2 linked regions of the Caenorhabditis elegans genome follow. The protein of the gene in region 1 interacts with the protein of each later gene in a pairwise test. Each region holds a gene or a part of one and is shown in the gene's direction. Other genes may lie near its edges.

What was found.
Region 2: the proteins of pas-7 (region 1) and nhr-6 interact in a two-hybrid assay, tested with the Caenorhabditis elegans proteins (2 studies listed by BioGRID).

What each region holds. Positions count from the first base shown.
Region 1 is NC_003280.10:10,096,367-10,102,628, reverse strand, and holds pas-7 (Proteasome subunit alpha type-3), read left to right. Parts: upstream 1-2,774; 5' UTR 2,775-2,775; coding exon 2,776-2,845; intron 2,846-2,894; coding exon 2,895-3,007; intron 3,008-3,052; coding exon 3,053-3,622; 3' UTR 3,623-3,847; downstream 3,848-6,262. Other genes in the region: puf-12 (Pumilio domain-containing protein 12), read right to left, coding at 1-170, 218-917, 964-1,223, 1,276-1,780, 1,828-2,130, 2,181-2,300; lact-2 (Beta-lactamase domain-containing protein 2), read right to left, coding at 3,940-4,164, 4,213-4,875, 5,416-5,710.
Region 2 is NC_003281.10:3,571,069-3,581,099, forward strand, and holds nhr-6 (Nuclear hormone receptor family member nhr-6), read left to right. Parts: upstream 1-2,512; 5' UTR 2,513-2,630; coding exon 2,631-2,672; intron 2,673-2,782; exon of another isoform or gene 2,783-2,789; coding exon 2,790-2,855; intron 2,856-3,079; coding exon 3,080-3,182; intron 3,183-3,225; coding exon 3,226-3,308; intron 3,309-5,123; coding exon 5,124-5,201; intron 5,202-5,248; coding exon 5,249-5,400; intron 5,401-5,540; coding exon 5,541-5,735; intron 5,736-5,801; coding exon 5,802-6,091; intron 6,092-6,136; coding exon 6,137-6,294; intron 6,295-6,341; coding exon 6,342-6,702; intron 6,703-6,779; coding exon 6,780-6,901; intron 6,902-7,112; coding exon 7,113-7,322; 3' UTR 7,323-7,703; downstream 7,704-10,031. Other genes in the region: C48D5.3 (TIL domain-containing protein), read right to left, coding at 7,814-7,956, 9,253-9,390. UniProt on the Caenorhabditis elegans protein: Transcriptional activator that induces gene expression by binding to the NGFI-B response element (NBRE) 5'-AAAGGTCA-3'. Required for proper morphogenesis of the spermatheca and the spermatheca-uterine valve formation.

The sequences.
Region 1 (6,262 bases):
ATCACAGCGCATGACTGCCATGAGAATGAAATTGCCCGATTGGTGTTCAATAATGTGGAAGCCTTCCTGGTCCATTGGTACAAAGTCCTTCTTCGCCAATTCAACGATCGCTTGGTTGCAACTCTTGCGAGCTTCTGCTGGGACTTGTCGATCGAACAAATCGAAGCTTGCTGAAAAAAACTCGAATTCTTTATAATTGTGCAACTTTTAAACTTACAGGTGGTTTCGAGACATGCAGCCACGAATTTTGACTTGTTGGCCTCGAAAACAAGCTCTTCGAAGTTAGCAGCCAAATAAGGATACAAGTTCTCGGTAATACCGGCGTACAACTGTCCATATCTATCCTTTTGAGTTTTCTTCGAGTGTGGATTGCTATCACCTTCGGCAAGGAATGTAATTTCTCTTTTGTCGATTCCTCTTCCATCTCTTGGATGCACCAAATAGTGGATAACTTTCTCTCCCCAATCATCTTCGATCAACTTCTTCATTTCATTTGCCAACTCGGAGACAATAACCTTATTGAGAAGAACAGTATCGTCGACAGTATCAAAAAGTGCAAGAAGAACACGATGTCCGTAATGTTCCATTGCGGCTTTTACTGACAAATCCTTGAAATTCTTGACGATCAATTTTCTTTCCTTGACTGGAGCAAACCAAATGAGTTTAATAGCCAATTTGGCACCATCTGGAGTATGAATGAACTCGGGAATTTTATCTTTCAGTGAATCAAGGAGATTGATTTTCTTTTCCTCGTCGCAATTATCGAAAAAGTCGAGCATAAGTTTGTGCAGAATTGAAAGTCGCAAAGTTTCTTTTTCATTCACTGCTCCAATAACCTCGTCCAAATGCTTCAAAATCACAACCTTCTTTTCCGGCTTTTCAGCGAGAATCTCCGTCAGAGATCTGATATTGTCTTCCTGAAATCAACAAACTATTTTTAGAGCTTAATTGAATGTTGTTTACTCTGAACAAAATGAATTCTTTTCCATAAAATTCAGTAATGATGTTGTAACGCTGATGGGCATTAGCGAAGTCATTGTAAGCATATTCAAGAACTTCGGCAGCATGTTTGATTCTGAGCAGGGTTGGAGCATGTCCGCGGAATGCATTAATGATAATATCACGTTGTTCTTTAGTTCCATTCTTCAACATTTTCTTGACGAAAAATTTGGAATAGACGTTCTTTGACATCCTCACTATTTCTGGGGTTAATTCGTTGAACACTGCAATAATTATGTTCTCGTAATTATTCATGGGAACCTTCAAAAAACTTACAGTTGTTAATGATTCCTTCTCTTTCAGTGGCAACAAGACATTCGATAACTCTGCTGGTGTCGTGAGCATAGATCAGCTTGGCAGCGTGTCCTTTTACAAGACCATACAACTCGTGAACCGCAGTATCCTTTTCAGCTTTTGGCGTCTTTCCCATTCTGATCTTTTCCCAAAGTTCCTTGCATTTTTGAGCACGAGCTCCTTCAGGTTTTCTCTTCAATTTCAACTCCTTCAAAAATGCTTTTCTTTCTTTTCTCGGCATATTCAGCAATTGTTCTTTAACAGACTTTGTGACTTGAATAGCTACTCTCTTTCTCTTTAGAGTTGGAATGTCAATATGAGATTCATCTCCACCTGCTTGTTCGTCGACAGATTCCAAATTTTCATCGTCTGCTGGCTCAGAAGCAACGGCTTTCTCTGCATTAACCTTCACTTTTTTCTTTGGGGGAGCGGAATGCTCTTCTTCTTCTTCCTGAGCAACTTTGACAGTCTTCACTTTGGCAAGTTTCTGAAAAAAAACAATTGTGTAAAAGACGATATATTGAATTAACAAACCTTAACCTTCTTATCAAGAGGGGATCTGAGAATTCCTCTTCCTGGAGATGCCTCTGATGGTTTGATTTGAAGATCCTGAACTCGCTTATCGAAAACCTTAACATGTTCAAGTTCTCCTGAGAAAAGCACTTTTTTCGATTTCTTTTTCGGTGCTGGCTGGCTTCCGAACGAAGACTCCGAGCACAAAGAGTCACGAGTCCCATCATTATCAAAAACTGATGTTGAAGATGACTTTTTCAACCTTTCCAACTCGTCCTTCACAGCTTTGTCTACTTTGCTTTTTAACGCTGCTTTTTCTTCAATCTGAAATATTTCACAAAAAATTATTTACAAAATGAAGTAATTTAACAAACCTTAACAATTCGCTTTCTGTCTACTTTGTTGAGTTTTAATCCTTTTGCCTTTTTCTCCAACACATTTTTAACCTTCTTCTTCCCTTTGAATTTTTTATTTTTGTCGTCGAGTTTCACCATTTTTACCCGCGAGATTTCTCTGAAAGACACGCATATTAAAAGGAGTAATAAACACAAGACAATTTTATGTGAGGTTTAAGCGATTTTTACTTTGGAAACAAATTGCACAGCTTCAAAATAGTAACAAAAAGTTACGAAAAAGTAAAGAAAAATGAAAAGAAAATGTTAAAGGCGCATGTTGTCTTCTGACGTCTCTCAATTTACACACTCTCTTCTTCGTCGTTGCGAGACCTGCCGCAATGTTCGTCTCTCCCGTAAATCGACATTGGAAAATCATCATTTGAAATTTTATTTCCATTTAGCTGCCATTTTCAGATTATCAGCTTTTATTTTCGCAATAATTCTACTATTTTTAACGCATTCAAATAAACGAATTATTAAATATTAAATTTTAACGGTTCTTCTGATTTCCGCAGAAATAAAACACGTACCAGTTGCAATCATATATGTGTTAACATAGTTTTTATTTTGCAGAATGAGTTCAATCGGTACCGGCTACGATCTCGCCGCCTCTACTTTTTCTCCTGATGGCAGAATTTTCCAAGGTTTGTTTCGATTTTGCTTTGTTCAAAATACTCATAATCTCGTTTTCAGTCGAGTACGCTCAAAAGGCTGTCGACAATGCAGGAACAATGATTGCAATTCGTGGCAAGAACGGAGTTGTGGTCGTTGCTGACAAGCTGATCTCTTCCAAACTTTACACTGATGTGAGTAATTTAAGAGATTTTCAAGATTTTATCTATAATTTTCAGAACGCTAATCCAAGAATGTTTAACGTGAACGACAATGTTGGTGTCGCAGTTGCTGGAAACTATCCAGATGGTTTCGCTCTGAAGAACTATGCTTACGGAGAAGCAATGAAGTGGCTCAAAGACTACCGTGAGCCAATGCCGATTCAGAATATTGCTAACTCAGTTGCTGAGTACATTCACATTCACACTCTCGGCATTAGTCGTCCGTTTGGAGCAGGAGCCTTCTTCATGTCATGGAACAAACAAACTGGAGGACGTCTTTTCCTTGTGGAGCCATCAGGTCTAAACTATGAATACAAGGCATGGGCTGTCGGAAAACATCGCCAAGCCGCAAAAGCTGAGATTGAGAAGCTGAAGATCGAGGAGCTGGATGTGAATCAACTCGTGAAGGAAGCTGCTCGAATCATTATGGTGGTGCGTGACGAGAACAAGGATAAAAACGTTCAAATCGAAATGGGATGGGTCGGTGAGCAGACGAACGGAAAGTACGAAGAAGTTCCAAGCGAGGTTGTCACTGCTGCCGAGGAATGGGCTATTGCCAAGCTTGACGAGGACGACATGGACGATTGAATCATTCTCGTGTATTTATTCACATTTTTAATTTATTATCAGCTCTCTTCTTTCTGCCCTGGTAAACTTCTTGCGCTCGGCGAGTCATTTTATTGTACTTCAAACCGACTCACCGACTTCAAGAAGAACTTTTTGCACCCGGATGTTTTTTTTTAACTTTTTCTGTTCATTATTTTTCGGTTTCCCGGTATTACCCATTTTTCTCAATACAAATTCAGACAAACCAGAAACATGTTTATGCACAATTCGCTGGGGGCAGTAGACCCGTCCCAAATTATGGCGCTATGTACAAACAAGGATAACAACAATTTTTTAAGTTATGCGGCAACTGCTTGAACTGCTTCCTCGATCATCACACTTTGACCAGTCTTCTGTTTCTCCAAGCACTCAAATACAGAATCTCGAAGATGTCTGTATGTTCTCGTAAGCTCTCCCATTCCAGTTTTCAATCCATTCGAGACGTAGGCAATCGTGATCCCATCTTCCAAATCCATCATTACTGTGCTGCCACCGTAACCAGGATGTCCAACAAGCCACTTTTTCTGAAAAAATAATTGATTTATTATTATATTTATTAAAACGATGCTCACCCCTCCCATTGGATGTCTCTCGTATAGGAAACCATGTCCTTTTGGTAGAGGAGTCATGACAACTTCATCAATCCCCTGAACTTGGGGGGCACGGAACTTTTCTAGAAGTTCAGTAGAGAACAGTTTTCCTTGTTGTACGAGTGAGAAAAGTCTAGCTAAATCTCTTGACTTTGTAATACCAAGAGCAGCGACTTGCTCCATAGCATGTAGAGTTGGATTATTAAAGGTGTTCACATCCTGTTCCAACTTGAACCACGTTGGATTTGCAGCAATCTTTCTTGCAATAGAATTTGGTGGTCGAAGATTAAAAACTGCAAGTACAATCAGAACACGTGGATCATGAACAATCTCCCGAACGAGATGAAGTGTGGACGGCATTGAAAGACGGGATACGGTATGCTCTTCGCTTGGCGGTAATCCAATATGAAAGTCGATTCCGTGAACATCGGCGACTTCTTCTTTGAAGAATCGTCCAACTGATCGACCTTTCGGATCGGAGCGTCGAACGATTTGATCAACGATCCATCCGTAAGTAATTGCATGATATCCAGATTTAGTTCCAGGTTCCCAGTTTGGTTTTTGTGATGCGATGACTTCACTCATTTTCTCGAAATCGTTGGCGTCTTCGATGGTTATTGGCATATCGAGTGCAGCAAGACCTGCCTGGAATTAAGAATTTACTTGAATGTGATTCAGCATGCGAATTTTTATAATTTATTATTGCATTGCGATTTTCTGGCGCCGCCTTTTTCCCATTGGGTCTCGCCACGATCTCAGTTACAGTAACCGCTACAGGCTCCAAATTTAACAAATTTTTTCGTTTCATATTGAAAATGTAGTTGATAAAGTTTCGAATTTTAAAGTGCACAGAGAAAACCAGGATTTACAATTGAAAATTTAGCACCTATTGTCTCGTTTCCACTAGAAAAGAGCTTTTAAAAAATGAGTTCCTTTGGAGTGAGCTCACAGTTTTCCATATATTATGGAGACGCAGAAAAATGCATGTTTTAAATCGAGGTGGAATTGCGCTCCAAGGCTAAATTATAACGCTCCTCTCCCAAAAGCTGGGTCTCGTTAGGCATTAGCGGCAAAACCTTAACTTCAAACGTTTCTAATTATTGATGCCGGCAATTCTTAGGCAGCGCTGCCTAAGAATTTTTTGGACCTCGAGTTAGATTTAGAAACCAAAAAGATTAAACATACTCTGTGTGACATTAACCAATCGATTGTGATATTCTCCTTCCCATTTTGTGCAAACTCTGGCCAGATCTTGCTCATCTTGTCATCATAACTGATGTGACCTCGATCAACCAACATTGCCACACAGACTGCTCCAACAGCTTTCGTTGTACTGAACACGACTGTTCTCGTGTCAGGGGTCCATTTCCTGCCCGACGCCTTGTCCGCATACCCGCCTTGAAGATCCACAATCACCCGATCCTTGTGGTATACGGTAATCGACGCACCCTCACGTTCCCAACCATCGGCAAAGTTTCGTCTGAAATCGAAAGAAGGGTGGCATTGAATTGAAGAAGAATTGGTTTTTGAATTGAATTGTGAATGAATAGCTTTTTGTTTACACTGTTCACTTTGCTTCTCACTTTCTTTGCAAAAAAGACGCAAGATGGTGGAGGATAATTTGGTGGAAAAGAGAGTGAGATGTATGACCTTGTCAGGAAGAAAGTGTAGTTTATAGTCATAGGGAAATGTTTCTAAAAGACGCTTCTAGAGATCAGTCACAAAAATTGGATTCTATGAAATTCATGGAGTCGAGTCCAAAGGTGCGCTGAAAATTTTTAGAAAGTATCTAAAAATATCACCAAATATGCAGAAATATAGAACAAATATTTTAGTGATTTAAAAAATAATGTTTATTTTTCTGGAAAGATATAACAAATCTCAAAATCATTAAAACATTTTTCTATACCTCTACAATTAATACTTACTTGTAGATACCAAAAAGTTGGCAGAAAAATTGACAATTTTTGCAGAACTATTTTGGTGGCTCTAAGTTGCCTGCCTACATGCCTACCTGCCTACACGTCAGTGT
Region 2 (10,031 bases), on another chromosome or scaffold:
CTATAGGGCCCTGCGGTAATTCATGGAACACTGATGTGCGTTCATTTAGCATGCTTCTTTTTGATTTTTAAATTCTAATTCGAGTTAGCAGCTAATTTACCACGTGATGTCAGGCTGTCTCATTACGGTTTGATCTACAAAAAATGCGGTGTTTTCTCTCAAAAAAAAAAGTGACACTCTAGAGATTCCCACAATTCTCGTAGATCAAACCAAGATTTACAAGTTGTTGACTACTTGCTGCACCCAGGAGGTCTATAACTATAACTCATCTCTTATCAATAGATCAAAACGTTCAACTCACCTTCCACAGTCCAGTTCAAACTACACAATGACATATGAATTGGGGGGGTCAACTGTTTCCTGTAGATTCCTACATACTTCAGTTTCATTGATAAGAAGCACTTCGTCACCGAGTGTGGGCGATGTTTACGTCAGAGTGCTGGACAGTATCAAAATTAGTCACTAGAGCTGGAACAATGACTTAGTTCTGAGCTATTACTCACTTATGAGACACATGCACCGTCGCCTTCGCCGTCTCTCGAACCTAGTGGCTTTGATCTCTGATAGAGCTTCACGCTTTGGAGTAAACTATCTACAGACTCCCGGTGCATTGTGTGTCTTTGATCGTGTTATCATTCGTCTCCGTACAAGCGTTTATCAGTGGTTTCTTGCTTTTTACAAGCACTTCATCACGTCACTTTATTTTATTTGTTTCGTAGGTAAAAGGGGTGGGGAAATGGGACGAAAACCGTTTTAAAGCGGAGGTTTTCAGATTTTGAGTCAGTTTTTCTTGACCTTCTTGGCGAAAAATTTCTAATTTTATAATACATTTGGGGGTTAGCGAGCCTGCTTCCAAAAAGTATGAGAGCAAAGGATAGGTCTACAAAATTGCCCCATCTAACTTTTTTCGTTTAAAATTAGTGTAAACTATAGAAAATGATGTACCTGATTATTCGAAAATAACAAATATTTTAGCTGAAACATATTAGAAAATTCTCAAAAATAACCTGGAAATTGCCATTCATCCATTATCGAATTGTCTAGCAATTGACAACTTCTAGGCTATTTTGAGCATTTATTCAAATGTTTTAGCTCAAATAAATGCTATTTTCAAATTAATCAAATAATCAAATCAAAATATTTTGGTCTCATTGCACCTGGTGCAATAGGACATTTTTTAGAATTAACGCCCCTCATTTCTCTCAAAAACCGATTCCTCGAAAAAAATTTCCTAACTCAAATTTTATCTACAGTCTTATGCAACAGTGCATTGCGAAAGATTTCCTAATGCTCCCACAAACCGCAAAATTTTTTCTCAACATGTACGTTTTTCTTGTAATTTACAGCTTCCTTCCTACTATTTAGCATATTTTTCCAAATATGTTTTCTGATACGCCTTGTTACTCACAGGAGCTAGAACTAGATAGACAAACCAATTAGAACATCCCCCCGGAGGTTTGTATGTTTTTCGGAAAATGATCCATTGTTCAGATCAGTTATGATGTGTCGTGAGATGGGCGGGAGGAAGTGATATCATAAGTTCCCTTTACGGTTTCTGGTATATAATAATGCTCATTTAGTCGTAGAAATTTATTGTTCCGACTGTTCCGGAAAGATAATTTTTCTGTAGATCATTTATGCAAAAAATATTTTTCACTTTTGCATTAGTTTTTGCGTAGCACCCAATTTACCGAACAACTCTCCTTATCATGAAAATGCCCTTGAAATGACTAAATAATTTCACCGGTGCACATACTTTCTATTTTTTCCTTTTTTTCCATTGTCTAGAGCAGCAGCTGACGCAATTTTCCGACCTTTTCACACTTCCCACTCTGCATGCATTTTTGGATTTAAATTGTCTACGTACAAAATATCTTGCACCTGTGATGAAGTCACAAACTAGCTCAGAGATTAATTAGCTCTAGACATAGATGCTAACTGATGGGTTTGCAAGTACCTATGCCTACCTGCGTGCCTTCAACTCCCCTAATGCAGATAACAGTAGCCGTAGGTCAGTTGTAGGCACGGCAGCAGGCATAGAAGTTAACTGTTACAGTAACCACTCACCTGTACATTGGGATCTCCTCATTGATTTTGAGAGCTGACCTACATAGTATATCGAAGCGATTCGATCGCTAAACTCTGAGCTCACAGAATTGGAAACAATGAAAAAAAGGCTGATTCTGCTTTTAGAGTGACCACTTCTAATTTTAGCCGGCCCGGTGGTGTCGTCAAAATTCCTTTCCTGAAATTACGTAGATAATCAAGGCGCGGGCAGGTGAATATTCCATTCAAGACGGGCAAGAACACATGTTGTTGACTTTTTTAGTGTTGCTGCTCGATCAGTTGTCACAGTGTCAAATCACCTGCACATGTGCATTTTTAGGTGCTTCTGATGACGCGCCACGAGCTGCTACTCCGCCTTCTCAATTGTTTGACACTATATAATTCCCGATCGTCTCTCTCTCTCTCCCACTCACCCAATCTGAAAATTCGTTAAAATTCTGAACATTTTCAGATTGACCACTACTAGAGCTCTTCTCTCACTTCTTCTTCATCTTTCTTCATTCAAATCTTACAACTCCTTATATCGACCGCTCATTAATCGGATGCGCGGTCTGTCCGACTGAATGGAACAACTTAGTATTCAAACGGACGAGTTGCAAGATCAGGTACCCTAACCTATTTCTTTTTTTTTTTGAGTAGGCGAACTGGCAGGTGTACCAGAAAAACTGTTAAAGTTCGGTGGAAAAGATATGTGGTAAATTCTATATGTGGTAAATTTTCAGTTTTCCAACTGCTCGCCAGCTTCTGTCGATAGTAGCTACTCATCCTGCTCCAGCGTGGAGGACGAAGTAAGTATTCTTATTCTCATCTTCTGGAAGCCTAAACAAGATTGGGCTTATGCTTAGGATTCGGCTTAGGATTAGGCTTGGGCTTAAGAATTATAGAAAAAAAAATACAAAAATTGCACAATCCCAAAAAAACAGAAAACTCAAAAATCATGTGCCCAGAAACAACGGAAAATGAGATATTACAAAATCTGGCAAAAACTTTAATTTAAATTTTATTTTTTAAGATCGAAATCTACACACGCCTCGTGCGTAACGAAGAACCTCTGCGAAGGGACTTCTTCCGCGAGATGTCGAAAAACTCTTCGTGCTCCTCATCATTCGACTACGGTAATTCACAAAATTTCCATTTCTTCCTAATTATTGGTTTCAGGAGAGTTTGGACCATCTTCCTCGTCTCGCAAAGGCTCCAAAACCACCGATGCCGACCTCGACAGCCTTTTCCATTCTCTTGTGGTGAGCTCTTTTTCCAAGAACTTTTTTAAGATTCCCATGAAACCTTTTTTTTCAAATCTGTGGGAGAAAATTGGTATAATCCTTTTCTGAGCTATAATTTTTTTGAACTTTTTTCCGGCGGTAAAAAAAGGTGTGAGTGGGAACATGTGAATAATATCACCCGACTCCTCGTTTCCCACTTCATTTCAAACTTGGCATCCCCTCTCAACACAGTCATTGTTTCCTGTCGAATCACCCTGCACTTTCCCAACACATTTCGTGCCCGCTTATTAGAAAGATAATTGGATAGGTGAGATCACTTGTAGAGAGAGCCACGAGTGGTGTTGGTTGGAGAGAAATATTTCTCGTTTCAAATTCATTCTACAACTTTTCCACCCAACTAGTAGTAGTCTTTCTCTTTCTTTTTTTTTGGGTGTTGGCGCAATGGTATTTGCCATTAGTCATAGAGACAGTAGCAGCAGGGGTGGGACCCCTAATGCTAACAAGTCACTTGTACCAAAATGTCATTCATTTATTAGTAGTGTTTCTTTTGATGTTGCTGCTTTCTTTTTTGGCTACTGTAAAAAGTAGACCATTTTAGAAAATTTGGCAAGTTGTTTAGAAGTTTTTGGAAGTCGACTATTTTTTTTCACTCAAAATCAATGTTTCAACCTCTAAAAAATTTGAATTCTAGAAACTTTTTAAAAAAATTCTAATTTTTCCCACTGCTCAAAATTTATGAGAGTCTAGAAATGTAAAAAAATGTATCAAAAATCCCAAAAAAAAAACTAGAGTAGCCCCCCACAAAAATGGCTCCGAGTTTCTGAATTTAGACCCAACTTTTCATTGAAAATTACTGTCAAAATCAGGAATATATGCATATTGATTTATCTGAAAATCAGATTTTGCCCACTTGAACCATTGGAAAAAATGCTCGAAAATGGCCTTTTCAACAAGTATGATTTTTGATATTTTTGACCCATTTTTAGCATTTCTCAATAAAATCGCCCTGCATTTTTAAGGCTTTAGAACGTTTTTGGAGCTCTCGAGATAATTTCTTTATTTCTAGTTTGCTTAGCCATGTAGGCGGTAATTTTTCGAGGACTACAACAAATATTTTCAGCCCACAGGCTCTGCGTCATTTTAGACCAGAGAAGAGTACAAAAAGTTTAGCTCTCATAGCTCTTTTCTTGTTTTCTGCTCCAAAAAAACTCTTAACTTCCTCACATAAACAGTCCGAAAACCCGAAAAATATTTAAATGCTGGCTTAACCTTCAGTTTTGCTCAAACACATACACCCACTATCATCCGGCTAATTGATAGATACACGTGCCATTTGGCTCCCCCTTCAGTCCTCTGTGTCCACACCAAAATTTGGCATGAAACACCCCGCAATTTGTCGTCTTTCTTCTTCCTTTCATCCATCTCGAAAACTCTTTACTTTCGATTTTGATTTGATGGTCTCTCTGGGAAACCTGTTTCTATTATATCCTCAAAGTGTCACCTCTCATTCTTTTTTGGCTTCTGTCAGCGACGTCGTCATCACTCTTAGGTGGTCTCGGGGCGTGGACTGACATAATTCCTCGTGTATGCTCTTTTGTCGCAGCTAATGCTCAGGGCTCTGGACTCCGCCCCTTGAAATTTTCCTGGGCAGCCGCCTAATCAGCTGTTTGATAGAAGCGCACTTTTCATATATTCATACTTACTTCCCCCCTGCACCCTACAGTTATGATGAGCAAACGGACAGCTAGCAAAATTGACAAGCCTGTGGTCAGGCTCGGAGATGATCTTAGCGGACTTATGGGCTTTATAAAGTCTGAAATTGAAAGTTTGCAGGAGACAAGCGATCAGGTGAACACTGTACCAAAGCCCACGAAAACCGAAGTCGAGAGTATCCCCGAAGAATTCGAGCAGGTAAGAGCTTCATTCTGCACACAATTATAAACTTTTAATAATTTCAGAAACCATCCTCCTCCAGTCACCGTTTACCATCCGAAATGAACGCCTCAATCACCCATATCAAAAGTGAACTTGACCCAACTATGCAAGCATTTCAAATGCCACACAACGATCTTTTCCTGGCAACCGCCGCACCGCATTACAATCCATTCGCGTAAGTGTCGTCACAGATAACCACGTGTGAATTACTTTTGCTTCGTGTTTTCTACGTAGTACATCGAGCCGAGGATTAACCTCCATTGAGAGCATAAGCTGGTGCTTCCACGAGAGGATTTCTATTGTTTCTTCTTACAGACTTTCGAATGATTTCATGCCGAATCCCTTGATGCCTTCATTCACATCTCCATTCTATCCTCAACACTTTCCGGTATCGGATTCCAGGCGTGGAAGTCAGGGGACAACGAGCTCGTCGAACAATACCGGCGGAACACCATCGCCTCATTCAAGCTCTCTGCCAACGTCACCCCCGCAGTTGCAAGGCTTCTTAAGGTTCGTTTTTGAAATTTGAAATTTGATATTTTAAATTTGAAATTAAAAAAAAAAGAAAACTTTCAGATCCTTCCTCAACCCCGACAACCTCTCCACACCAACCTCATTCGGTGTCCCATCGGAAACAGCTCTTGACGCTGACAAAATGTGCGCTGTGTGCAATGATCGAGCTGTTTGCCTGCACTATGGAGCCAGAACTTGCGAAGGATGCAAAGGATTCTTCAAGCGAACTGTGCAGAAGAACTCCAAATACACTTGCGCTGGTAACAAGACCTGCCCAATCGACAAGCGATACCGTAGTCGGTGCCAGTACTGTCGCTATCAAAAGTGTTTGGAAGTCGGCATGGTCAAAGAAAGTAGGTGTACCCTTTGGGAAATGTTCATTATTTGTGATATTTCAGTTGTTCGACATGGTTCTCTATCGGGGAGACGTGGACGTTTGTCGTCAAAGACGAAGTTGGCAAGATCAGAGGATCAACCATCTCCACCGCTTCCTCTTCTAGCTTTGATGGGAAAAGCAATTGAAGATCATACAAATATGACTGTTGTCCGGCAATTTGTAAGTCGGAAATTTAGCATTTCTTTTGGAAAATGTTTATCATTTAGATGCAACCATTCGATGAGACTATCGCACTGAGAATCCTGCACGGAGAGCTTCATGCCACCAAGAAGCTTCTCATGGCAATGCCACAAATTTCCGAGATTCAGCCAGCCGACTTCCAGATCCTCCTCAGCAGATCTTTCTTCGCAATCATGGCAATCCGCGTGGCAAACCGATGTGGCAACAGCACCGACACAATTATGTTCGAGTCTGGAGAGCTTTTCTCGTTGAACGCGTTCCCTGCCTGCTTCCAACAAATCATTCGATTCATGGTTGACAAAGCACGAACCTTCAGCTCATTGGTTGACTGGGAGCCTCAGGCATTCGCCGCCTTTATTGCTCTTCAATTTTTGGCTGGAAACACAGGTGTGTAGAATTTAAACCCTAAAAAGCTTCAGCAAAGTTTATCTACTCCTCATTTCATAATTTCAAAATTTTTTCAGAACATAACGTACTTGGATTGACCAACAAACCTCTCGTCGACCAGGTTCAAAGTACCATCATCAATGCTCTCAAGGATCATTGCAGCGGATCTCAGAACAAATTGGCCAAGATCGTTAGATTGGTAAGTTTGTCATTTTCAACGTGTGACGTAGAATCTAGCGGGGAAGCCTTGTAACACGCTTTGAGGGCAAAATTTGCACGCTTCTAATGCTAATCCATGTCTGCCAGGAAGCAAAATTTTTATTTTTTATTGAGGGTTGCACTGAGAGCAAGTATTCCAGACTGACATGCAAGTAGGATGTCTAGTATAACACTAACTATTCAATTTTCAGACCCAAGAATTCGATGTATTCCATGCTCTTGGACTCCAGGCCCTGGACATTCTCTATCCATCACACCAGCTTCCAGAAGAGTTCATGTTCCTTATCAATCTTACACGTGCTCCATTACGATCTACGGATGCACCGCCAGCTTGTGGAAGCCCAGTTGCCCCATCTGGAAGTTCACTTTTTAACTTCCAAATGGGCCCGGCTGCCTTTTAAAATTTTTTAAATGTTTAAAATTTTAAAAATTTAAAATTAATATATTTTTCAAAATCGCTAGCCCCATTGAATTGCATATCGCAAAGATTTCTAATTTATTTTGTTTCCCCACTACTGTCTCAAACAAAAAATCACTTCCAGAAAAATTTCAAATAACTTGTTACCGGTACTTTCCCAACAATTTTTGCTCCTTGAACCTCAAATCTCTCAGAATTTGTCCCCCCATTCGGTTTTTATTTTATGAAAAGCCTCTAGTTTTTGTGTGAATTCCAATCCCCGAATATCAATTTTGTTTTGTTTCAATTTTCAGAGTTTATTTATTTTAACTGATATTTCTTGAAATTATTGTATAGAAAAAGAAAACCATAAATTATATATTTTTACATTGTTTCATTTTATTACAAAGCACCGGAGAGAGAGGGACAAGAATACTGTGGGGAAGGGGTATACTGAAGTTTAGAGAGCAATTCCTGGAGAAAAAGGTCTGAAGCTTAACAAAAATTATTTCGCATTTGTCGTTTGTTACGTCTCATGTACTGGAACGCGGTTTTCAGATCGGTTTTCAGCTCGCAGCGGCTGAATCCACGGTCGTCAATGATGGGCTCCGGATGAGCAAAGTCTGGGCACTTCTTCCCTGAAATTTGAAGGTTTTTCGAAGTGAAGAAGGCATGTGTCCCCTCAAATAGAAGTGTGTGACGTCACACGTTTTAAGGGGCATTGACCTACTGTATCATAATTTACGCGCAAAGTTTCTGTTCTGGACTGTGCTGAACTTGGTTGAACCGCGGAACCCGCGAAACGTCCGTGCAAGAACAATCGGGACATTATTTCCTTTTAATATTAAAGTTTTCAAAATGTTAGGGTTCGCCTCAAACTGTTCTGTGTGACGTCACGGGTTGGCCAAAAGCGTCAACTTTGAACACAAGTTTCTAGTATAAATTTTAGTTCAAAGATAATTGGAAATTATTTTAAGGTGAAAAAGAAATGTGGTAAGAATACTAAATCACCTATTGAATTAATTATAGCTGCAGAAGATCACTGAAATTTTCACGACAGCTGATAATATTTGTTGAAATGCCAGGGAAAGGTTACCTAAAGTTTGTCGGCTTTTTACGCAAATGACAGGAAAATGAATGAAATTTTTGAAATCGCGGGGGTTTTTTGTTGCAGCCGACGTTTTACGGGCACTTTGAGAGGATTCCTAGAAAACATTTTGTTGCAAAATTGTATACTCTGAAATAATGTTACGGGAATAATCCCTTCATTACACTTTTTGTACCTTAAACCTATTCTATGTCTGATCTTTATAATAGCATTACAACGTCTGCACCTATACACTTAATCTACCACCCAATACAATTCTGATCTGTGACGTTTGCCCTCCCCAACTTTAATCTTCTCTTTTGAAAGCTTTTGTATCTGACAGAGCAGGTTGTTGGTTGAGCATTGGGAAGTGATAACCCGGAAATTTTACCTGTGAAAAATATTTTTTTGGGATCTTTAAGGATAAATGTTGCTGGAAAAAAATGGAAAGATGACCGGAAATGTTGTATAGTTTTTTAAAAATTAATGAAACTTTGAATAATTTTTTTACTATTTTAATTTAGTAAGGCACCTCCTAAAATCAATTTTGAGACATTTTAACGTTCGCAAGTTCAAAAAACTTAAATATACTTTGAAATTTAAAAGGTTTAATCTTATATTACTAGTTTCAAGATAAAATTTTCAAACCTCCCTTACAAAGTTTAAATTTTTTGTGCTGTGGGCATTTTTTAAGAAAATATATTTTTTATGCAATTTTGGCAATTTCCAAAATTGTAGAAAATTTATGTTACTTGCAATTGCCGCGCTGACCTCAAAATTTTAGATAACTGTATATTAGATACTGTAATTCTGGCAAGGGATCTTTAAAATCAATTTCCCAACTCACAACACTTGTTGAATAAAAAATGTCGTCCTTTCTCACAAAGACATCGGGATGGAAATTGAGATCTGTCACAGATGGTGCTCTCACATGCTTGTTTACATTGATCTTCAATCATACATCCAGTTTCGTTTGGTTTAAGAGCTGAAAATTATCGATTTTTTTTCTAATCAATAGTGGAACTAGCTAGTACGTATGTAAGTTAATTATAAACGAAACAAAATTTTCAACACCTTCATTATATTTTTTTAAAGAGCAAAGTTAGGTACCATCAATATCAGAATTTTCAGGCAACCTCCACTTGCCTCGCGCCGCGACCCGCGTCTTTTTTTATAGCCAGTAAATTTGGATTTCCAGCAAAAAATCTTAGCTTAAGCTCTGATTTTTACTATAAATCGTAGTTCTCAGAGCTATTACGTCAAACTCGTAATTGTTTTCAATACAAACACGAGTTATATTCAGACCGAAAAATGTCTATTAATATCTAAATAACACATCAAATTATTCAGTTTATGATAATATTTTAAACTGTGACTAGATAGGGCTTCGTTTCCTTGAAAACTGGCCCGTCGGCTATATTTGGAATGAGTCACAGATTATTGATAAATCAACAAAATGTTATCATTGTGAGGGTGGAGGAATATAATTATGGTGTGTCGACAAATAAAATAAAGTTTCAAACAACTTTTGAGCATGTTGGAAATGTTTTTCATAAAGTTCTGAAATTTAAAGCCTAGAAATAAAGTTGTTTGAATTTGTATTTCTTTTGATTTTCGCATTAATTT